Linked DNA regions of Tribolium castaneum. The protein of the gene in region 1 purifies or fractionates together with the protein of each later gene. This does not show direct contact. Links are inferred from orthologs where the notes say so. Each region holds a gene or a part of one and is shown in the gene's direction. Other genes may lie near its edges.

Region 1 (9,614 bases):
TGCACAGTTAAAAAATATTATTTTTTCACTGTGAAACCGTGAAAAAATAATATTTTTTCACAGTGAAAAAACGTCAAACTTCGCGCATAGGTAACCATGCATAAATGTCACGATTTTTTGACGGCTGTAGAAAAAAATATATTCACCAACTTCCCGTTAGTGATAATATTGTATTCAAATTTATGGCAAATACGTAAAATGAAATGTCAGATCTAAATTTATAATTTTTTATATTACTTTACATTTAAATTAATTTGTAGACTTGTAGAAAATAATGATTGATGGACTTATCTCATTATTGCACTGAACAAAGGTTCACAAATTTTCGGTGTTATAACAAAATTGTTTAATAACATCTAAATAAACCAGTATATTGCAAAACCAATTATTACATTTGAAATTGCAATATTTTTCTCAAAAAGTCTAAAATTGGACTTATTTTGTTATACCATTGAACACCCCATATATGCACCACCTCTCGCGAGACAGCCTGTATAAAAATTGTCACCACAGTCTCCAGTTTTCTAAATAAAACTAACAAGCTCTTCATCAGAGTTGAATCCTTCTTATTCTGACAGGTTTAAGTACCAGAAAACTAGCAAAGGCAATCATTAAACAGAAAATTCTAATCCAACTGTTGCTTACCTATTTTATAAATTTTTTTAATAGGCTCAAGGATGGTGAGGCTGCCTATACAAGGTTGCTGCTTCCTGATTGGTCAACAACGCACAACGTGAAGTGGGTTGCACTTCTAACCTCACTTTCTGACTATTGTTTATTTTCGAGTACTGAAATATCTCTAATAAGGGTATTTATGTTTTACGCTAAGCAGTAGTGAACTACAATTTGGAGCATTTTTCTATTGTAAAAATGGACCCACTTGCAGGTTCGTTATTTAGTAAATAAATCGTGATGCGTATTAGCTAGGTTACTTTTATTATCCGTTTTTCAGGGGGCGAAGTGAACATTGGTCGAGAATGGCCCACTATAAATGCGAAGGATGATGAAAAGGAAGAGGAAGCTTCAACATTTGTTGATAAGAAAATCCTCAGAATGATGGTACTTAAATTATTATCATTTCTTGTGGTGGCATTGAGTGAACAATTTTTAATAATTTGTTTTTGTAGAAAATGATGGGGTATCAGTCTGGTTTTGGCTTGGGTAAGAACAAGCAAGGTGTGACGGAACCTGTAGCCGTTGAGCCACATTTGAGTAAGCGAGGTTTAGGATTGGAAATAAAAAATTTGGATTATTCTAAAGAAGAGTGGGACTACTCTTTAGATGTATGCTTTAGTTTCGTAATGTCGAGTTTTATATATAAAAATTGTTAAAGAAACCAACAGTTGTTGAAAAAGTTAGCTGGTTGTGTAGCGAAAAAGTTTTGGAATTGAGCGAGGATGAGATGGTTAAATGGCCAAGGGAGGGCAAGCCCACTAATAATATGGAAGAAGAGTTTAATTTTTGCGACAAACAAACATTGCATGATGTTCTACAGGGAAAAGTATGTAATTTGCTCAATGTAAAAATGTTTGAAAATGGTTCCTCACTAAGTCATCCTTGAAATTTGAATTTCATGTGTTGCTTAGCTTACTTTGAGATGTGATAGTTTCCCTAAAACCTCACACAGCACTAATCATTTTGGATAAAAGGATTTGAAACATAATTATTCATCACAGTTCCTAATAGCCCTAAAAACTGAAAAAACTTATTGTTTATCTGTACTCTGAAACTACAGTAGATATTTGGAGGAGCAGCCACAGGGTGCACCACATTGAATTATTGATTTATTATTTATTTACTGATAAACAAACATTTTTTATTTTCTGAACAGTCTGTATTAGTGGCTTATACAGCGTGCTCAAAAACTGGCGCACCAACTCAATGGTGTGTGGTAGAGAACTGGTTACATATAAAGGTAAAAATAGTAAAAAAAATTTTTGTATTAAAGTTATTGATAAATAACGGATTTTAGATAAATGATATGTGGCAACGTTGTCTAACAGTCATGATCGCAATAGAATTTGAGCATCAATAAAAATAAATTATTTTTAAAACGGTTTCCTAGGAAATAATTCCCAGTGTTGTCACATCTACACATTGTGATTTTTTTGATGAATTTTAATTTTTTTAAATTAAAAAAACTGCTAAAATGTGAAAGTAAATTTAAAAATAATTATTCATCGTTTTGTTACGGAACGATTACTTGGTATGAAACATAAAAACATAAAAAAATAATGAAAACCAAAGAAGTTAACACAATAAGTTTATAGCTCCAGATTTTTTAAAATATGACTTTGGGAATTTTTTCAACATTTTTCCCGTAATCTGCACTTGCTTCTCAATAACGTACCACTGGTGCGCCAGTTTTTGAGCACCCTGTATCTACGTGAAGCACCTAATATCGCATATAATATTAATGATTATTATTAAAGCCAATACCATGCCATAATTTGAATTTATTATATCTATTATAGAGTAGGCGGTTTTCTTCGTTTATGATTGAAAAGCTTCAATTGAAGGAAAAAATTCAATCTAATTAACTCGTTCGAAATTGTTATTTCACTCTTCAGATTAATTGTTATAATCAACATTTTCACACAAGTTAAAAAAATGTTAAAGCCTAGTATAATTATAAATTTAAATGATCACGTGGTATTAATATTAAACAAATAACATCTTCAAATTTAATACAAACAAAAGTATTTTCTCCATTTTTATTTGTAATTGAAAATAATAATTGAGAAAAATTTGCGTCATTATGAGGAAATATTGCATAAGAAGTTAATTTATAACTCAAATTTAAATTAAATGATTTTTATGGTTATTTTAATTTTTTTTAATCCAACTACATTAGATATCACGATTAAATTGCAAACAAAAAAAAACAACTTCAATTAAATTGGAACATTTTTTGCCAAAATTTTACAAAATAAGTTCTCAAATTTTCTCTTCGTTTCAAACTTTCCTGTACTCCCGAGGTAACTCCCTTATTCTAAATTTGAATGTATAGTTTTTGGGCGTATTTTTACTAAAAATCATACTAACGCCCGGTTTTCAGTTGACTGTTAAACCAAAGATATTTTGGTTACAGTTTATTTCCTGGATTGACGTATTTCATTGCTTGGCTATGATTTAACCAAGTTTAAAATGTTTACCGAAGGAAATGTGTCGGGTTATCAACTTTTTTCAGGGTTAGTCATACTCGTGAGATATCACGCCACTTTTTGCGACCCGTTTTTAGGTGTGTTTTGGTAAAATCCGTTTTTTGTGATTTTTTCAAAAACTGTAAGAGATAGTATAGGAAGTATTGATAAGTCACCGTAAATATCGATGTTTTTTCGATTGCCGTTAAGAAAATGGGGTCGTTTCATTTGAAAAAAAACTGGGTTATAGCAGTTTTTTGATAACCATTTTCAAAAAATAATATTATCCATGAATTGGACAGATGACAATTTTGAATAACCTTCGGTTATCGAATGCAAAAAAATATTCACTTATCGCAAAGCGTGCAAAGGCTGTGATATCTTAGATAAACCCTTGCAAATGAAAATTTTTACAAAAAAATTGACATATGTCAAAAATTATAACAGATATAACTTGGGTAAATTTTATTCAGCTTAAGAAGGTGAATTCAAATATGCAATCAAAATGTGTGGTTACTATTTAAAATTTCAAACTTGGCGCCAATTTTTTTGTAGTTCCGGAAGCTTAACCATTTTGAAAATAAGTTAGTTGTACTCAGAATGGTCGACTTGGATCGTATACAAAATTCTTAAGCTCTAGCCACAGATCTGTGCTCTAGCTGTATTAGATGTTAAAAAGTTTTATTTAGAATCACCCTATATATTAGCTCAATGACCCTGAATGATAGGAAAGAGGGGAGTTGTTGGCCTTGTAAAGGGGGTAATATGAGAGCCTTGACCTTGAAAACATTAAGGTCCAATAATGACTTTGCTTTGAAGTGGTGGGGGAAGTGGGAGGGGTTGCCTTGAAAAAGTAGAGAGAGAGAGAGAGAGAGAGAGAGGGTCTTGAAAGAAAGATAGGGGAAAATGGGCCAAGCTATGATCAAGGTTGTGTTGTGTTACCTCTCATTCGTTATTTACTAATAAAAACTAATTATTAAACACTGACCGGCTCGTTTGCACAAAAGAACGGAGGAAAACAGTGAAAATTATAAATGAGAATTTTGCAAAACTTTATATAGAAAAGTTGTTGTGTTTGACGAGTTTTATTACGTGGTAAAATTAACACACGTACAGGGTGACCCAGCGGTGCGTAATCGGTCTATAACTTTTTTGCTATTTGAAATATTGCCATGACATTTTTATTATCCGATAGATCGACTTAAAATCCACAAACTAAAAATATTTTTATTATGCACAGGGTGTTGTATACAACACAAAGTTATATTTTTTTTAAATGGAACACCTTATATATTTTTGCATAATTGGATTCTACGCAAAAAAATAATGTAACTTTATGTAAACTGTTATGGGTCTATCTCTTTTCGTTTCGGAATTATTCAACTTTTCGTTATAAAAAAGACCAATTTTTTAAAAATCACTGCAAAGTCGCTTATGAATAATTTCCGATAAATATGCAACAGAAAAATTCAGAATACCTTGCAGTTTTAGTAAATCGACAACTTTTAGTTAAAGCACGCAGATAATATACAGGGTGTGCCAAAACGCAAAAAGTTAAATAACTAATTTTTTTCGAATGGAACATCCTGTATTTTATTAAATGTATCGAAAGCATTTTTGATAAGCCTTCTAACGGTATAGGGTTTGCATAGCAAATTTAAAATATTTTTCCAAATTGTTCAAAAAAAATATATTTTATTACAAGAAAATTTGTTAGCCTAGAATCTGATAGTCAAATAGTAATTAATTTTTTGACATGTACTAATGTGACTAATTACACAAGTAATCTAATTATTACCTGATACATAAATGAATTTCACTCATCAAGAATTATTGAATAAAATAAATAAAAAATTTATTTTTTATTTTTTTGAACACTTTAAGAAATATTGTAAATTTGCTATAAAAACCGCATATCAATAGAAAGCTTATGAAAAATGCAATCGACACATGTAAATAAATACATGGTGTTCCATTAAAAAAAAATGAGTTATTCAACTTTTTGCGTTTTGGCACACCTGTACATTATTTCCGTGTTTCAAGTAAAAATCGACTATTTCCTAAGACTACAGGGTATTCTGAGTTTTTCTGTTGCAAATTTACCGAAAAATATTCATAGGCGACTTCGCAGCGATTTTTCAAAAATTGGTCTTTTCTATAACGAAAAGTTGAATAATTCCGAAACGAAAAGAAATAGACCCATAACAGTTTATATAAAGTTACATTATTTTCTTGCGTAGAATCAAATTATGCAAAAATATATAGAGTGTTCCATTTAAAAAAATATAACTTTTGTTCACTACCCTGTATACAACACCCTGTGTACAATAAAAACATTTTGAGTTTGTGGACTTTAAGTCGCTTTATCGGATAATGAAAACAGAATCGCAATAATTTAAATAATAAAAAAGTTATAGACCGATTACGCACCCCTGTGTCACCCTGTATTTCTGATACAGCCTGTATAAATTTTATTGTTTCAAATTTCTGTCTCCATCTATTATTAAGATACAAGGCTAACTTGATTTTTTTTAATGTCAAGAAGGATCAAAGAAAAAAATGTTACTGCCAACTTTAACAAATAAGGAGAAAAATATGACATGAAAAATCAACACAACTTTGGTGAAATGAAATCGCTAAAAAAGTGAATTCTATTATCAATTGAAACGGAGAGTAATAACAATATTTTCAAAGGTAAGTTTTCTTTTCCAGAAATCCAGAATACAATGTTTGAATTTAATTTTTTTTTACCTTTTATTAAAGATAAAGGTGGGTTCTTACATCATTGAATTAATAAAAAAATGCTCTTTAAAAATTATTAAATTTTACCCTTCGTGCCATTAAAAAATCATGTTAGTCTTGTATTTTTTAAATAAATGAAAGAAATAGAAAATTGCAATAGATTTCAGGTGATAGAATTTAAACTCTTGTAACTGTCCCCCAAATTTCAAGGCGCTCTGTTAAACTGTTCTGAAAATATTTAGCTGTATCCAAACATTTTAGCAACCCTGTGTATGTGTTAATTATCTCTTCATCTAGTTTTGAATCATTTTCTCCTCTTTCTAGAATATATTTGACGTACTAGACCTTAAGGAACTCTGCCAAGCTCGTGCGCGAGCGAACCCTTTTGAAACAATCCGTTCCGTTTTTTTCATGAATCGAGCGTCGTTAAAAATGGCAAACATTGACGCTGCAACCGATTTCATGTTCACAAACATAAATCACAGCCACCATGAAGATTCCGGACCTTACTATTTTGCGGACGTTTGTGCCGGGCCTGGGGGATTTACCGAATACATTTTATGGCGAAAAAAATGGATGTTTAAGGGATTTGGTCTCACATTACGTGGTGATAACGATTTTAAATTAACGGAGTCACTTTGTGCCTCTCCTGTCACTTTTTTGCCACTGTACGGAGCCAGCGGTGACGGCAATGCTTGCTCTCCTGAAAATATCAGCGATTTTTCTGAGAAGGTTTTGTTCGAAACGGAGAACAAAGGAGTGCATTTCATGATGGCAGATGGCGTACGTTTGGAAAATATTTCTCGCATTTTTTCAAGGTTTTTCTTGTCGTTTTTTAGGGGTTTTCCGTTGAAGGGAACGAAAATATCCAAGAAATTCTGTCCAAAAGTTTGTACATTTGTCAGTGTTTGATTGCTTTGGAAATTTTGCGTAAACATGGTCATTTTGTGACCAAAGTATTCGACATTTTTACTTGTTTTAGTGTTGGACTTTTGTACCTAATTTATCATTGTTTTGAGAAAGGTATTTTTTTGTTCCAAAATTGCTCGTTTCTAATTGGCTATTTTAGTATGCATTTTGAAACCTAATTCGTCAAGGCCTGCAAATTCGGAACGATACGTCATTTGTTGTAATTATAAGGGCCGGGAAAATGTTGAAAGCATAAGAATTTATTTGAAAAAAATTGTTCAAAGATTGTGGGAACTGAAAAACGACAATAATTTGGACGTAATAGAAATCGTACCTTTATCTATCCTAAAAAGCGATCACAATTTCTATTCGTACGTTTGTGATAGTAATAATAGGTAAGTTTTTCGAATTTATGCAGACTGAACCAAAAGTAACGCACAAAATTTATCATATCTTTGTTAGTAATCATTTTTCAAAAAAAAAATCCTTGAACAGATCGCTTTTTTTTTTAAATGACAACCTACTTTTTGTTCACTGTTTTAGATAAGACACATCTTTTTGGTAGAAGAAAAAATTTCAAATGAAATTAAAAATTAAATAATATTTTTTTGCACTTTTGGGGCTAAAGTGGGTCATTTATTCCCTAGGAATTAATTATGAACTGAACCCCCTAGAGAGTTTATTTATTCCCTCTGGAATAAATGACCTACTTTAGTCCCGAAAGTGCAAAAAATATTTTTTTATTTTTTAATTTCATTTGATATTTTTCTCTTCTACCAAAAAAATGTGTCTTATCTAAAACAGTGAACAAAAAGTAGGTCCTTAGGAATTCATTATGAACTGAACCCCCTGAGAGTTCATTTATTCCCTGTGGAATAAATGACCCACTTTAGTTTCTGTAGACAGAAACTTCGTAAAGTAACTATTTTAGTCTCGGAAGTGCAAAAAATAGCGTATTTACCTCGGGATCAAAGTGCCTAAATACCTTAAATGGTTGTTGCCCTTTAACAAATTCCACTCGCGGGATTAAATGCTGCACTTTAGTCCCTCTATATATTGGATGTTTTATTCTCATCCCACAAACGCTGCTAGAAAAACGGTAGGTGATTTTATTGTATACAAGGGGTCCGTTTTCTGAGTTCCACCATGGGGATCTCCGTTATTATAAGAGATACGAGGTCGATTGAATTAGGGCAAAGTTGCGCATGTTTATGCTGAACAATCATCTGCAAGAAAATTTGATGTGTCATTTTTAAATTTTGAATTATTGGAAAAAACGGAAACTTGTAATTTTCGTTTTTATTTTTTCAAGTGAAAATGAAAAGAACTAGACGTTTTTAACTAAGACGTTCTTCAGGTACTTTTTTACAAAAAATCTGAAACCGTCATCGTATTTTTCAAAGCGATCTTGATGTCAGAGTTACTACACTCAACTTTGTTTTTTTTATAGAACCCATATTCGCTTTTTGTATTTTTGAAAAGTGTTTTTATTCTTGGTTACAACGATGTATCACATTGTAAACGTTGATCAAAATGGAGAAAAAAGCATTTTTGCGAAGAGTGCTTTGGAAAAACGTCCAAGATTTTGTTTTTAAACAAACTAGATTTTGGAGGTGTAATTGAATTTGGATCTGGAAGGTTCATTTTTCTGCCAAGCTTACGTATTTAAAAGACTTTTTAGTTATTTAGTTTGCTAGACAACATTTTTGACGTTCTTTCCAAAGCACTTCTTTGCAAAAACGCTTTTTTCTTAATTCTAATCAGCATATAAGATTCGATCATATCATGGTGATACATCATTGTAATCACAAACAAAAAGACTTTTCAAAAACACAAATATTAAATATGGCGTCCATAAGAAAAACCAAATTTGAGTGTTGTACCTCTGACATCAAAAACTCCTTGGAAAAGATAATGACAGATTTAAAATTCTTGTAAAAATGTGCCTAAAGAATGTCCTACTTAAAAGCGTGTAGTTCTTGTGGTTTTCGCTTAAAAAATAAAAACGAAAATTACATACAAATTATTTATTTTTCTCAATATTTCAAAATGGCACATCAAATTTTCTTTCAGATAATGGTTCAGCGTAGAAATGTGCCACTTTGCCATAATTTAACCGACCTCGTATCTCTTGTAATAACTGAGCTCGAAAAACGGACACCCTGTATAAGCGGCAATTATTTTTTATATTGGTTTTTGGAAAAATTGCATGAAAACATTTAATATGATGTCTAAACTCAAAACATTAACAAAAAAACCTTCATATCTTTATAATATAAAGCAAGAACGAAAAAATTACGCTCTTTGTGTAATACTCTTAATAACTCTTACAACTTTTTTATTTTACTTTCTTCGTTTTTAATTTTTTTATACCTGTGTTTATACTTAGTACCGTAATCATAACGTTAGAAGTGAATGTAAAAAAAATCGACTTGTTCGAGGATTTTTTTTTAAATTACTCATAACCAAGATATGAATTTTGTGCGTTACTTTTGGTTCAGTATTTTGATTCTTTAACACTACTTTTGCAGAATAGCCAAAAACCAAACGATAAGTCTACAAAAACTTGCCGCTTTTTGTAGAAACCCTTTGTTGACAGAGTACCGACAAGAAGAACTGAGAAGACAGTGTCTAGATTATTGGAAAATTCCAGACAAACCTAAAATACCTCTCCCCAAGTACACAACGGAGAACCTACTTGACGAAACAGTCGAAAATAGAGGTGTGTCATTTTTTTAATTTTAATTTTTTTCTTTAATATTATTTTTACCAGAATTACTTTTGGTGCAACCACGTGAGATATACTCAATTGAACAATTA
Region 2 (10,105 bases), on another chromosome or scaffold:
TAAAGTTAATATGTGGGTGTGTTAATAATTGACACACGATGTTGTGTCATGATCGAACGATGATTGCAATTGCGAAAAAAAATTTTAACATTTATTTGGCTTGAATGGCCAAAGTTACAAACTCCGCAACCTTACTCTGTAATTTTCAAAACTTTAGTTTTGTTACATTAGTTATCAGACGAAAAATCTCCACGTTTTACGTTTATGATTTCTGCAAATTTATAGCTTACCTCGGAAAATGGGTCGACTTTTTCAATTAATTTTAACTGCCACAAACACTTTTTGTGGAAGAAATCGATCCAGGAAATTAACCTCCGCATTACAATCCTACATATTAATCCGCATGCAGAAAAAACACATAAATGACGGTTACAGCTATTATATTAGCTCAGTCATGACACAATTGCACATTTTACCAATGATGGAGTCTTATTTTTGCTATAATATCTAATCTGGGGGCCACTTTGAACCAAAAAGGGTTGAGAAATAAAATTGAGATAAAATAATGTGGTTTCTTTGGACGACTCTCACTGTTTTCAGTGAGTTAGGACTAAGGAAATCACTCAGTATTTGCCGAAATTACATAAGTACGAGTAGATATTACAATATAAGTAAATCGAGAAATAAATAAATAAATATAACGCAATTAAGTATTTTATTAACTTTTTAATTTTCCTAATTTTCTTTATTATTTCCTATTATATCCATAAAATTTTTCGAAATACGTAACTTTCTAGCTAAACAATAACTAAATCACTCAGAATTCACTACAATAACTCTAGTGTAGTGTTTTTTTCATTTTCTTCTTCAACATCTCACAAAATAAGGAGGTTTCTGACTCAAAAACAATCTGAATCGTTGAGTTATTATTCGAGAAGTTGTAGCGTATGAACTTTTGAAATAAAGAAAAAATTCTTCAAAATAAAAAATTGAAATTAGAACCAACAAAGCTTTTAACATTAATACGTTATCGGTGATTTTTTTATTGTTTCCAGCGTTAAATCAGTCCCTTATTAGTAGAGGTTCATGATAAAATCAGTTGGAAACAAACGTTGAATGAGCTGAACTTCCGAGAGAATGACTGATGCTAGAGGTCTATTTTAGGGATTAGTGTTTTTGTCTGTTATAAAAATTAGAAATTACACAAGTTTTGAAAACGAACTGCAAATTGTGAATGAGAAAAGTGAGATGTTCACTATATTTTTTAAACAATAAATGACCGAAAACATTGTGTGATGAATACGAAAGCTAAAGTGGTTTTATTTACTTTGCTTTGGGAGCAGCAAGGGGTTAAACGCGTCAGATTAAACCGAAATGATGGAATAGTATCGGGCGTCAGAAAAAATGCAAATTCCTTTAATGTATTCGTTTGAATTTATGATTGTTCCATGGCGTGGTTGTAATCTGAATGCATAACGATCGCAGTGGATTTTCTAAGCCGGTGTTTCCCCCAGGACCTGCTGATAACCTTATCGACGTTGCTCCGCGGTTCGGTGTACGAGCGCCTCCGATGGACCTTCAAACTGTATGACGTGAACGGTGACGGCTGCATCAGCCGCGGCGAACTGTCCGAAATCGTGGTGGCGGTGCACGAACTCATGGGGCGGCGCGCCCACCAGGTGGAGGACGACCGCAAGGCCCGCGAGCAAATCGACCGAGTCTTCCGGAAGCTGGACCTCAACCAGGACGGCGTCATCACCATCGAGGAGTTCATGGAATCGTGCCTCAAAGACGATGTGATCACTAGGTCTCTGCAGATGTTCGACTCAGTGCTGTGATGACCGGACGGCGAAAAGTGACCTGGTGGCAGGAGAGATGCGCCAGCCTGGCTGGGACACGCGCGGCCTTTCTGCGGTTGCTCGGACGGGAACACGGCGCCGCAGTCTTAGCATCGTCCATCCGTACACTTCAACAACTTTGCGTTCTTTCGCCCACTCCAGACCCAAAAAGCCCAAAAAATTACACGAAAAACTGAAGCGATTCCGTATTTGGACAATCAGAAGCTTTCGCAGAAGATTCAGAAAATTTTGTTTGCAATTTTCCAAAATGAACAGGTTTTTGCGTCTGGAGGGGCGAAAAGCACACTTTACGAGTTCCATTTTTGTAACGACGAGGAGTCAAAACAGTCTTATGCTTGACCATCGGCTGATTAGCTCTTAGTTAGCTTTGTATGTTTTTTAAGGAAATTTACTCTTACTGTAATATTTTAAGGGGTGAACCTGGAGACAATTCCTGCATATATTTTGAAAACCTTGCTTATGATTTGTCAATTAGAGCTAATATTACGAATAAAACTTAGATAAAGAAGATGTTGAATTGAGATTATTATGTAGCAATTAATCCAGGCCAAACCTAAAGTGACTGTCAGTTGTGAATGTGACTGTAATTAGGTACGTAACGAGCCTATGATTGAAATAATTTTGATCTGAAGTTGTTTCGATCGTATAATACCCCAATCAACAGACCGGGTCTGTCCGCCTAATTTAAAGTGCTAAGAGAATAAAATCGTGGGTCTACATGCACAGGTGTCTGATTCTCTTCCTGAATTTATTTAATTCTGAAGTGCCTCTTTGCCTTTTCTTTATGAATTAATAAACTGTAAGACGTAAATGTAAATTTTAACATAATTTACTCCCAAACGACAAATATTTTTGATAAAAGAACGTCACATTATTATTGGCTTTTGAGAAATAGTACAAAAAACTTGAAATTATTTTTGTGTCAGCGTACACGAACCACAAAATTGTAACGAAATTTTACACCCTTTATTACACACGCGGTCTCGTAAATTTATTGTAAAAGTGAATATTCGAAAATCTGGAAGTACTTCAGAATGATATTCGATTTTTCCCGTAGTTCAGTAACACTGCACAAGTTCAAAGCACGTGTGTGTTTGAACTTGTGAGTAAGGTACAAGAATTGTAAATTTATCCGTATTTACATCAGTTTAGCTTAAGATCCTTGTTCTTCCTTAAGTGGTTAAAGTGAATAGACTTCATCGAATTACTGTTTAAAATAGAAACTGTTGGACTAAAATTTCGTTTTGATCGTTGTAGATATTAGGAGATAAGTTCGGCTTTTATTTAGTTTAGTTAAATAAATATCTAGGAAATGTTAATCAAAATATACGATTATTATATGATATAGTGAAATATATCGTAACAGTAGATGTCTTAAAATCGATTTCTTTCTGTTATCTGTTATTGCGTTCAGTCAGCAAAAGAGCAATGTCCGTAAATTACCAAATATGCAATACATCACATGCATATCGAGAACTACAATCACAAGAGCCAACCATCACTACTGATTTGCCAACAAAATGAGCTTTTTAAATGATACGGTTAAATGTGGTAATAGACTTAAGATTTCTTAAACTGTATTAATTTTTTACTATTCTTTGTATAACAAGATGGCCAGACGGCACTAACACACTTCATAAACATGTAACTGTGTAAAATTTTAATTAAAAAGTGACGATAGGATTAACAAATTTCATACGTGCTGTACTATAAATGTATTAATTAATTAAAATATATTTTAAATTCAGGGCACAATTAATTACATTACTACTATTTTCGCATCAGAGGCATGTCCCATAAAACAACTTATGCGAAAAATTTTACATGAAGTCGGTTTAAAAAGTTGCAATTAATATGTTTCTCCCCAGAATCAGCAATATTCGCGCAGTACACATAATTTTGACTGACTAAAAACCAAATTATATTATTGTTATAAAGTTTAATTAATAAATTGTTATACGGTGTACAATAATTTCGTGGTTTCATTTTTCCCCTTAATTTTCCAAAAAATTTAAACTCCCGCTTTCGGTCGCCATGCAAATAAACGTCAATAAAACGGCAGCGCTCTGCTCTATCGACCGTGCAAAGTTGCATGGAGTCGTGGTCGTAGTTTTATTTCCAAACAAACTTTAATGCAATTTATTTTTATTTGTTAACAAGTAGACAATTCGAGAGCTTGTTACTATTAGCCGTAGTCTATCTAACAATGTCTAAAAGGAGAATCGAAGTGTTGGATCCGTTTATAAAGAAGAAAAGGTGAGTAACCACAAATGTCACTCAGCCACATTTTCCGCCTCGTGATATTTCAGGGAAGAACGTGGGATTAGCACTGCAGTAACGAACACCCCGCAAGTAACCAACGCCTCAATCAACCCGCACACCGGTTTGCCGTACACCAATAAGTACCATGAGTTGTATCGCAAACGCATCACGCTTCCTGTCTTTGAATACCGCAACGATTTCATGCGTTTGCTCGCCGAAAACCAGTGCATTGTGCTGGTTGGCGAGACAGGGTCGGGGAAAACGACGCAAATTCCACAGTGGTGCGTTGAATTCGCCAGGTCGGTCGGGAAAAAGGGGGTGTGCTGCACCCAGCCCAGGAGGGTGGCTGCCATGTCTGTGGCCCAGAGAGTGTCAGAGGAAATGGACGTCGCCTTGGGGCAAGAGGTGGGCTACAGCATTCGGTTCGAGGACTGCTCGTCGGCCAAAACTATCCTCAAGTAAGAGGGGCTATAAATATTTTCCAGAAACTCTTGTCTTCTTCCCCAATTATGATTATTCCTTGTGAAAAACTAGTTTTTTCCTCGCCGAATTCTATTAAACCTTGTTTTCTGAGGTTTTATTATTTTCAAAATACTCTTTTTCTCTTTTGGACTTAAATTATTGTTTTTTTTTTGAGAAATTTTAATGAATCAGACAGAAAAGTCAGTAAATTGGGTTTGAAATAAAAAAAAAATTGTCGTTTTCGAGCTTTTTATTACGTTTATCATATATTTACAAAAGCAGTTAAGTTAAATTAAGTTAAAGCATAAAAATTACAACTGTGTGATTTAATAGGTACATGACCGACGGTATGTTGCTCCGTGAGGGCATGAGCGACCCAATGCTGGACGCCTACCAGTGCATTTTGCTCGACGAAGCCCACGAGCGCACCCTTGCCACCGACATTCTGATGGGTGTTTTAAAAGAAGTTATTAAACAACGCTCCGACTTGAAATTAGTTATTATGTCGGCGACTCTAGACGCTGGCAAATTCCAGCAATATTTCGATAACGCTCCCTTAATGAACGTCCCCGGTCGTACGCATCCAGTAGAAATTTTCTATACTCCCGAACCGGAACGCGATTATCTCGAAGCCGCCATCCGTACCGTCATCCAAATCCACATGTGTGAGGAAATAGCCGGCGATATTCTCCTATTTTTGACCGGTCAGGAGGAAATCGAAGTTGCTTGCAAACGAATCAAACGCGAAATTGATAATCTGGGCCCCGAAGTGGGCGAACTAAAATGTATCCCGTTGTATTCGACGCTGCCTCCGAATTTGCAGCAACGTATTTTCGAGGAGGCGCCCCCTAATAAGGCCAATGGGGCGATCGGACGCAAAGTTGTCGTCTCGACCAACATTGCGGAGACTTCCTTGACTATAGACGGTGTCGTGTTTGTGATAGATCCCGGATTTGCGAAACAAAAAGTCTACAATCCTCGAATTCGTGTCGAGTCGTTATTGGTCTCGCCGATTAGTAAAGCCTCAGCACAGCAGCGTGCCGGAAGAGCTGGAAGGACTCGGCCGGGGAAATGTTTCCGACTTTACACCGAAAAAGCATACAAGAACGAAATGCAAGACAACACCTATCCAGAAATTTTACGATCGAATTTGGGTTCGGTCGTTTTACAATTGAAGAAACTGGGAATTGATGATTTGGTTCATTTTGACTTCATGGATCCACCGGCGCCTGAAACCTTGATGAGGGCCTTGGAATTGTTGAATTATTTGGCGGCGTTGGATGATGATGGAAATCTCACCGATTTGGGGGCGGTTATGGCCGAGTTTCCGCTCGATCCACAATTGGCGAAAATGCTCATTGCCAGCTGCAACCACAACTGTTCCAATGAGATACTGTCCATTACGGCGATGTTGTCAGGTATTTATTTTATTAACGTTTTTCTGAAGCAGGCCCTCAGCCCTTGCTTTAAACGTCGATTTGGTTATTTATTCCGATTAGACTCATTCAAAATAATTTTTTCATTTTCACTGTTTTGGTTTATTTAATTGGCAGCGTTGAATGTACTTTCACTACTTGCCACATAACAAACCTCAAAAGAATTAAAGGTTCCCATTTTTAAACGATTTTACCACAGTATTTATGCTTGGAGACTAATAAGTAATAAATTATATTTTTGATTTTGTGGTAGTTGATGCCGAATAATAGTCGGAGCAAAAAACCATTATCGTTATTAATGAACTAAATTTTTTGTTGAATATACGACTCAGCCAATTTCCGAAACCTCCGTAATCAATAATTCAAACGCTTGTGCAAAACAATATTTTTTAAAATGTTTATTAGATGCATCTTAATGTTGATTTTGTTTAATGAAGAATGAAAGTGGTTTGTTGTCCATGAATTTTACTTTATCAACTGCTACCTGTTTATTGGTCTGTTGTCACGCGGGTTCGTGTTATTCGGAACGATTTTCGAGCAAAACCGCTAGTAATATAGCTAATAAATGCTTGAAATAACAGACATTGAACAGAACAGAACACCACAATGTTGTGGTTTGTTTTGCTCGAGTCGTTCTGACTAAGGTAGCTCTGTAGGAAACGCTTGAGAGCGCAACTATATTGGTTGGATACGGGCAACTGCCCTGCTCCAATGTTTAGTCCCACAGTGCTTCATCCGACCAAATGAGGCGAAGAAAGCGGCCGACGATGCAAAAATGAGATTCGCGCATATTGACGGGGACCATTTGACGCTGCTCAATGTCTACCATGCTTTCAAACAAAGTAAGTTTTTGCGAGTTTTACCAAGTAATTGTGTTTGACTGGTGTGTTTGGGTTAGGTATGGAAGATCCACAATGGTGCTATGATAACTTTGTCAATTACCGTTCCTTGAAATCTGCCGATAACGTGAGACAACAGTTGTCAAGAATTATGGACCGGTTTAATCTCAAGCGAACTTCGACAGATTTCACCAGCAAGGATTATTATATTAATATAAGGAAGGCTTTAGTTAACGGGTTTTTCATGCAGGTAATAATAAATTTCTTAGTGATGATTGTAGTACATTGTTTTGAACTCGAGGTGGCGCATTTGGAAAGAACCGGTCACTACCTTACTATCAAGGACAACCAAAATGTTCAACTACACCCGTCCACATGTTTGGATCACAAACCGGAGTGGGTTATTTACAATGAGTTCGTTTTGACCACGAAAAATTACATCAGGACCGTGACAGATATTAAACGTGAGTAGTCCTTTCCTTTTGTGTTTCCCTAACTTTGTATTTTTAGCGGACTGGCTCATTAAAATAGCCCCCCAGTATTACGATCTTCAAAATTTCCCACAATGTGAAGCTAAACGTCAACTGGAAATAATACAAAATCGTCTAGATTCTAAACAATACCAACACGGTTTTTAGTTTTGTTTAAAAATGCCTATGTTATTGCAATTTGGTGTGTATTTGCGTTTTACTTAGTCTTCATTCCACGAAAATAAACTGATGTTCAATAATAATTTATTCACTATTATATGTATATTTGGATAAATCTATAAACTGGCTTGTGTTAATATTCTAGCGTTGATGTTACATTTTGCTACAGCATTCTACGTTTCGAAAATATATGTATAAATGTTTAGCGATAAAATTGAAGGTTTGAGCTCAGAAATTGTACTTTATAAGTATGTTATTGGCACCAATAAAGAGTCGATATTTTTTAAGTCTTCACAAGAAGTGATTTTTATCCTTCACCTTTTTACAACTTCCTCTCCTAGATTTTCCTCTGAAAAACATTAGAAAAATTTATCCAGTTTTGTGCGTTTCTGTCGATATCCTGTTCTGCGAGTGTGCTTTTCTTGTCCTACACACGTCCACGTGACACCTAACCCAGGTATCCCGAACTGATATAGCCAAATCGAGCCCTCACTGAAATAGGTTTTACTGATGAAGCGGATAGATGGCCTTAGTGTTTTACGGGAAAAAGAAATCCTATTGGCGGATTTAAAATTTCAGATTATTGAAGAAAAACGTGGTACCGATGCGCGGCTGACAAGTAAAAATTTCACAAACGTCAACAAAATTTGAGTTTTATGAAATTATTGGTTTGTGAATTAAATAAATACGACACAGCAATTAAATACACCTACCTTCATATCGCTTCCACGTTGGCTACCATTTGTAGCATTAAAAAAAATAATAATAAAAATGAAACCAAAAAAAATGTTTATTTGCATTAAATTTTGAGCAAACCACTTTCATTCATTGAAATTAAAGACAAAATTACGTGGCAGTAAATTATTTGAGTGTTTTATTTTATTTATAGTTACTGTATTTAAAATGTGTCACTCAAAATATCACTTTTCAACACCGCATTTAAAGATTTTAATTGCATTTAAGTTTTATGAAATTATTGGTTTGTGAAATAAATAAATACGACACAGCAATAAAATACACCTACCTTCATATCGCTTCCACGTTGGCTACCGTTTGTAGCATTAAAAAAATAATAATAAAAATGAAACCAAAAAAAAATGTTTATTTGCATTAAATTTTGAGCAAGCCACTTTCATTCATTGAAATTAAAGACAAAATTACGTGGCAGTAAATTATTTTAGTGTTTTATTTTATTTATAGTTACTGTATTTAAAATGTGTCACTCAAAATATCACTTTTCAACACCGCATTTAAAGATTTTAACTGCAATTAAGTTTTATGAAATTATTGGTTTGTGAAATAAATAAATACGACACAGCAATAAAATACACCTACCTTCATATCGCTTCCACGTTGGCTACCGTTTGTAGCATTAAAAAAAATTAAAAACAACACCAATAAAAAATCTTTATTTGCATGAAAATTACAACAAGCGACATAATTTTACGGCTGTAAAAAACAATCAACAATGTTATATTTAAGGATTGCTCTAATTGGTCAAATTAGTCAATAACTAATTTGTCCGGCAAGAACCACGTGGAGGTTTAGAGCATTCTTGCCAGGAAAAAAGGATATAAGGATGAGGTAAACAATGATTATTTCAAATGAAGGGAATAAAGGAATTATTGGTTTGTGAAATGAAAAAATAGTACACAAAAATCAAAGCTTTTTCACTTGGCGTTAAATAAATGCTCTTACCTTTTGTACTGCATCTGCTACCATTTGTAGCAAAACCTAAAAAATAAATTAAAAACATAACCAACAAAAAAATTAATTTGTAGGAAAGTTACAACAAGCGACTTTAATAAATATTATACAGAATAAAGGATACACAATACGGTAAATATATATGGCACAGAAGCTATTAAATCAACACATCACAAGATAAAACGCAAAAAAATGCACCTACCTTCATATGGCTTCTGCGTTGGCTACTGTTTGTAGCAAGACATTTAAAAAATTAAAACAACACCAATAAAAATCTTTATTTGCATTAAAGTTACAACAAGCAACGTTTGTCAATATTAAACAAAATAAAAAATTCACAATACCTTTCAATTTGTGGCAATTCAAATTCAAATCAAATTCAATACCTCAGTAAATAAATGCACTTACCTTCATATCGCTTCCACGTTGGCTACCGTTTGTAGCATTAAAAAAATAATAATAAAAATGAAACCAAAAAAAATGTTTATTTGCATTAAATTTTGAGCAAACCACTTTCATTCATTGAAATTAAAGACAAAATTACGTGGCAGTAAATTATTTGAGTGTTTTATTTTATTTATAGTTACTGTATTTAAAATGTGTCACTCAAAATATCACTTTTCAACACCGCATTTAAAGATTTTAATTGCATTTAAGTTTTATGAAATTATTGGTTTGTGAAATAAATAAATACGACACAGCAATAAAATACACCTACCTTCATATCGCTTCCACGTTGGCTACCGTTTGTAGCATTAAAAATAATAATAATAATAATAGAAATGAAGCCAAAAATAAATGTTTATTTGCATTAAATTTTGAGCAAGCCACTTTCATTCATTGAAATTAAAGGCAAAATTATTACGTGGCAATAAATTATTTGAGTGTTTAATTTTATTTATAGTTACTGAATTTAAAATGTGTCACTCAAAATATCACTTTTCAACACC

The links.
Region 2: the proteins of Cmtr1 (region 1) and Dhx15 purify together in Homo sapiens (co-immunoprecipitation; 3 studies listed by BioGRID and IntAct, with this or other methods). This does not show direct contact. The link is inferred for Tribolium castaneum from reciprocal best matches to the Homo sapiens genes CMTR1 and DHX15.

What each region holds. Positions count from the first base shown.
Region 1 is NC_087394.1:13,831,464-13,841,077, forward strand, and holds the start of Cmtr1 (cap-specific mRNA (nucleoside-2'-O-)-methyltransferase 1), read left to right. Parts: upstream 1-707; 5' UTR 708-870; coding exon 871-886; intron 887-952; coding exon 953-1,059; intron 1,060-1,127; coding exon 1,128-1,283; intron 1,284-1,333; coding exon 1,334-1,501; intron 1,502-6,209; coding exon 6,210-6,668; intron 6,669-6,724; coding exon 6,725-6,908; intron 6,909-6,954; coding exon 6,955-7,189; intron 7,190-9,325; coding exon 9,326-9,516; intron 9,517-9,567; coding exon 9,568-9,614. UniProt on the Homo sapiens protein: S-adenosyl-L-methionine-dependent methyltransferase that mediates mRNA cap1 2'-O-ribose methylation to the 5'-cap structure of mRNAs.
Region 2 is NC_087397.1:4,417,399-4,427,503, forward strand, and holds Dhx15 (putative pre-mRNA-splicing factor ATP-dependent RNA helicase PRP1), read left to right. Parts: upstream 1-3,838; 5' UTR 3,839-4,005; coding exon 4,006-4,055; intron 4,056-4,108; coding exon 4,109-4,519; intron 4,520-4,856; coding exon 4,857-5,941; intron 5,942-6,678; coding exon 6,679-6,801; intron 6,802-6,857; coding exon 6,858-7,048; intron 7,049-7,099; coding exon 7,100-7,262; intron 7,263-7,308; coding exon 7,309-7,436; 3' UTR 7,437-7,735; downstream 7,736-10,105. Other genes in the region: Kv channel-interacting protein 1, read left to right, coding at 1,455-1,778.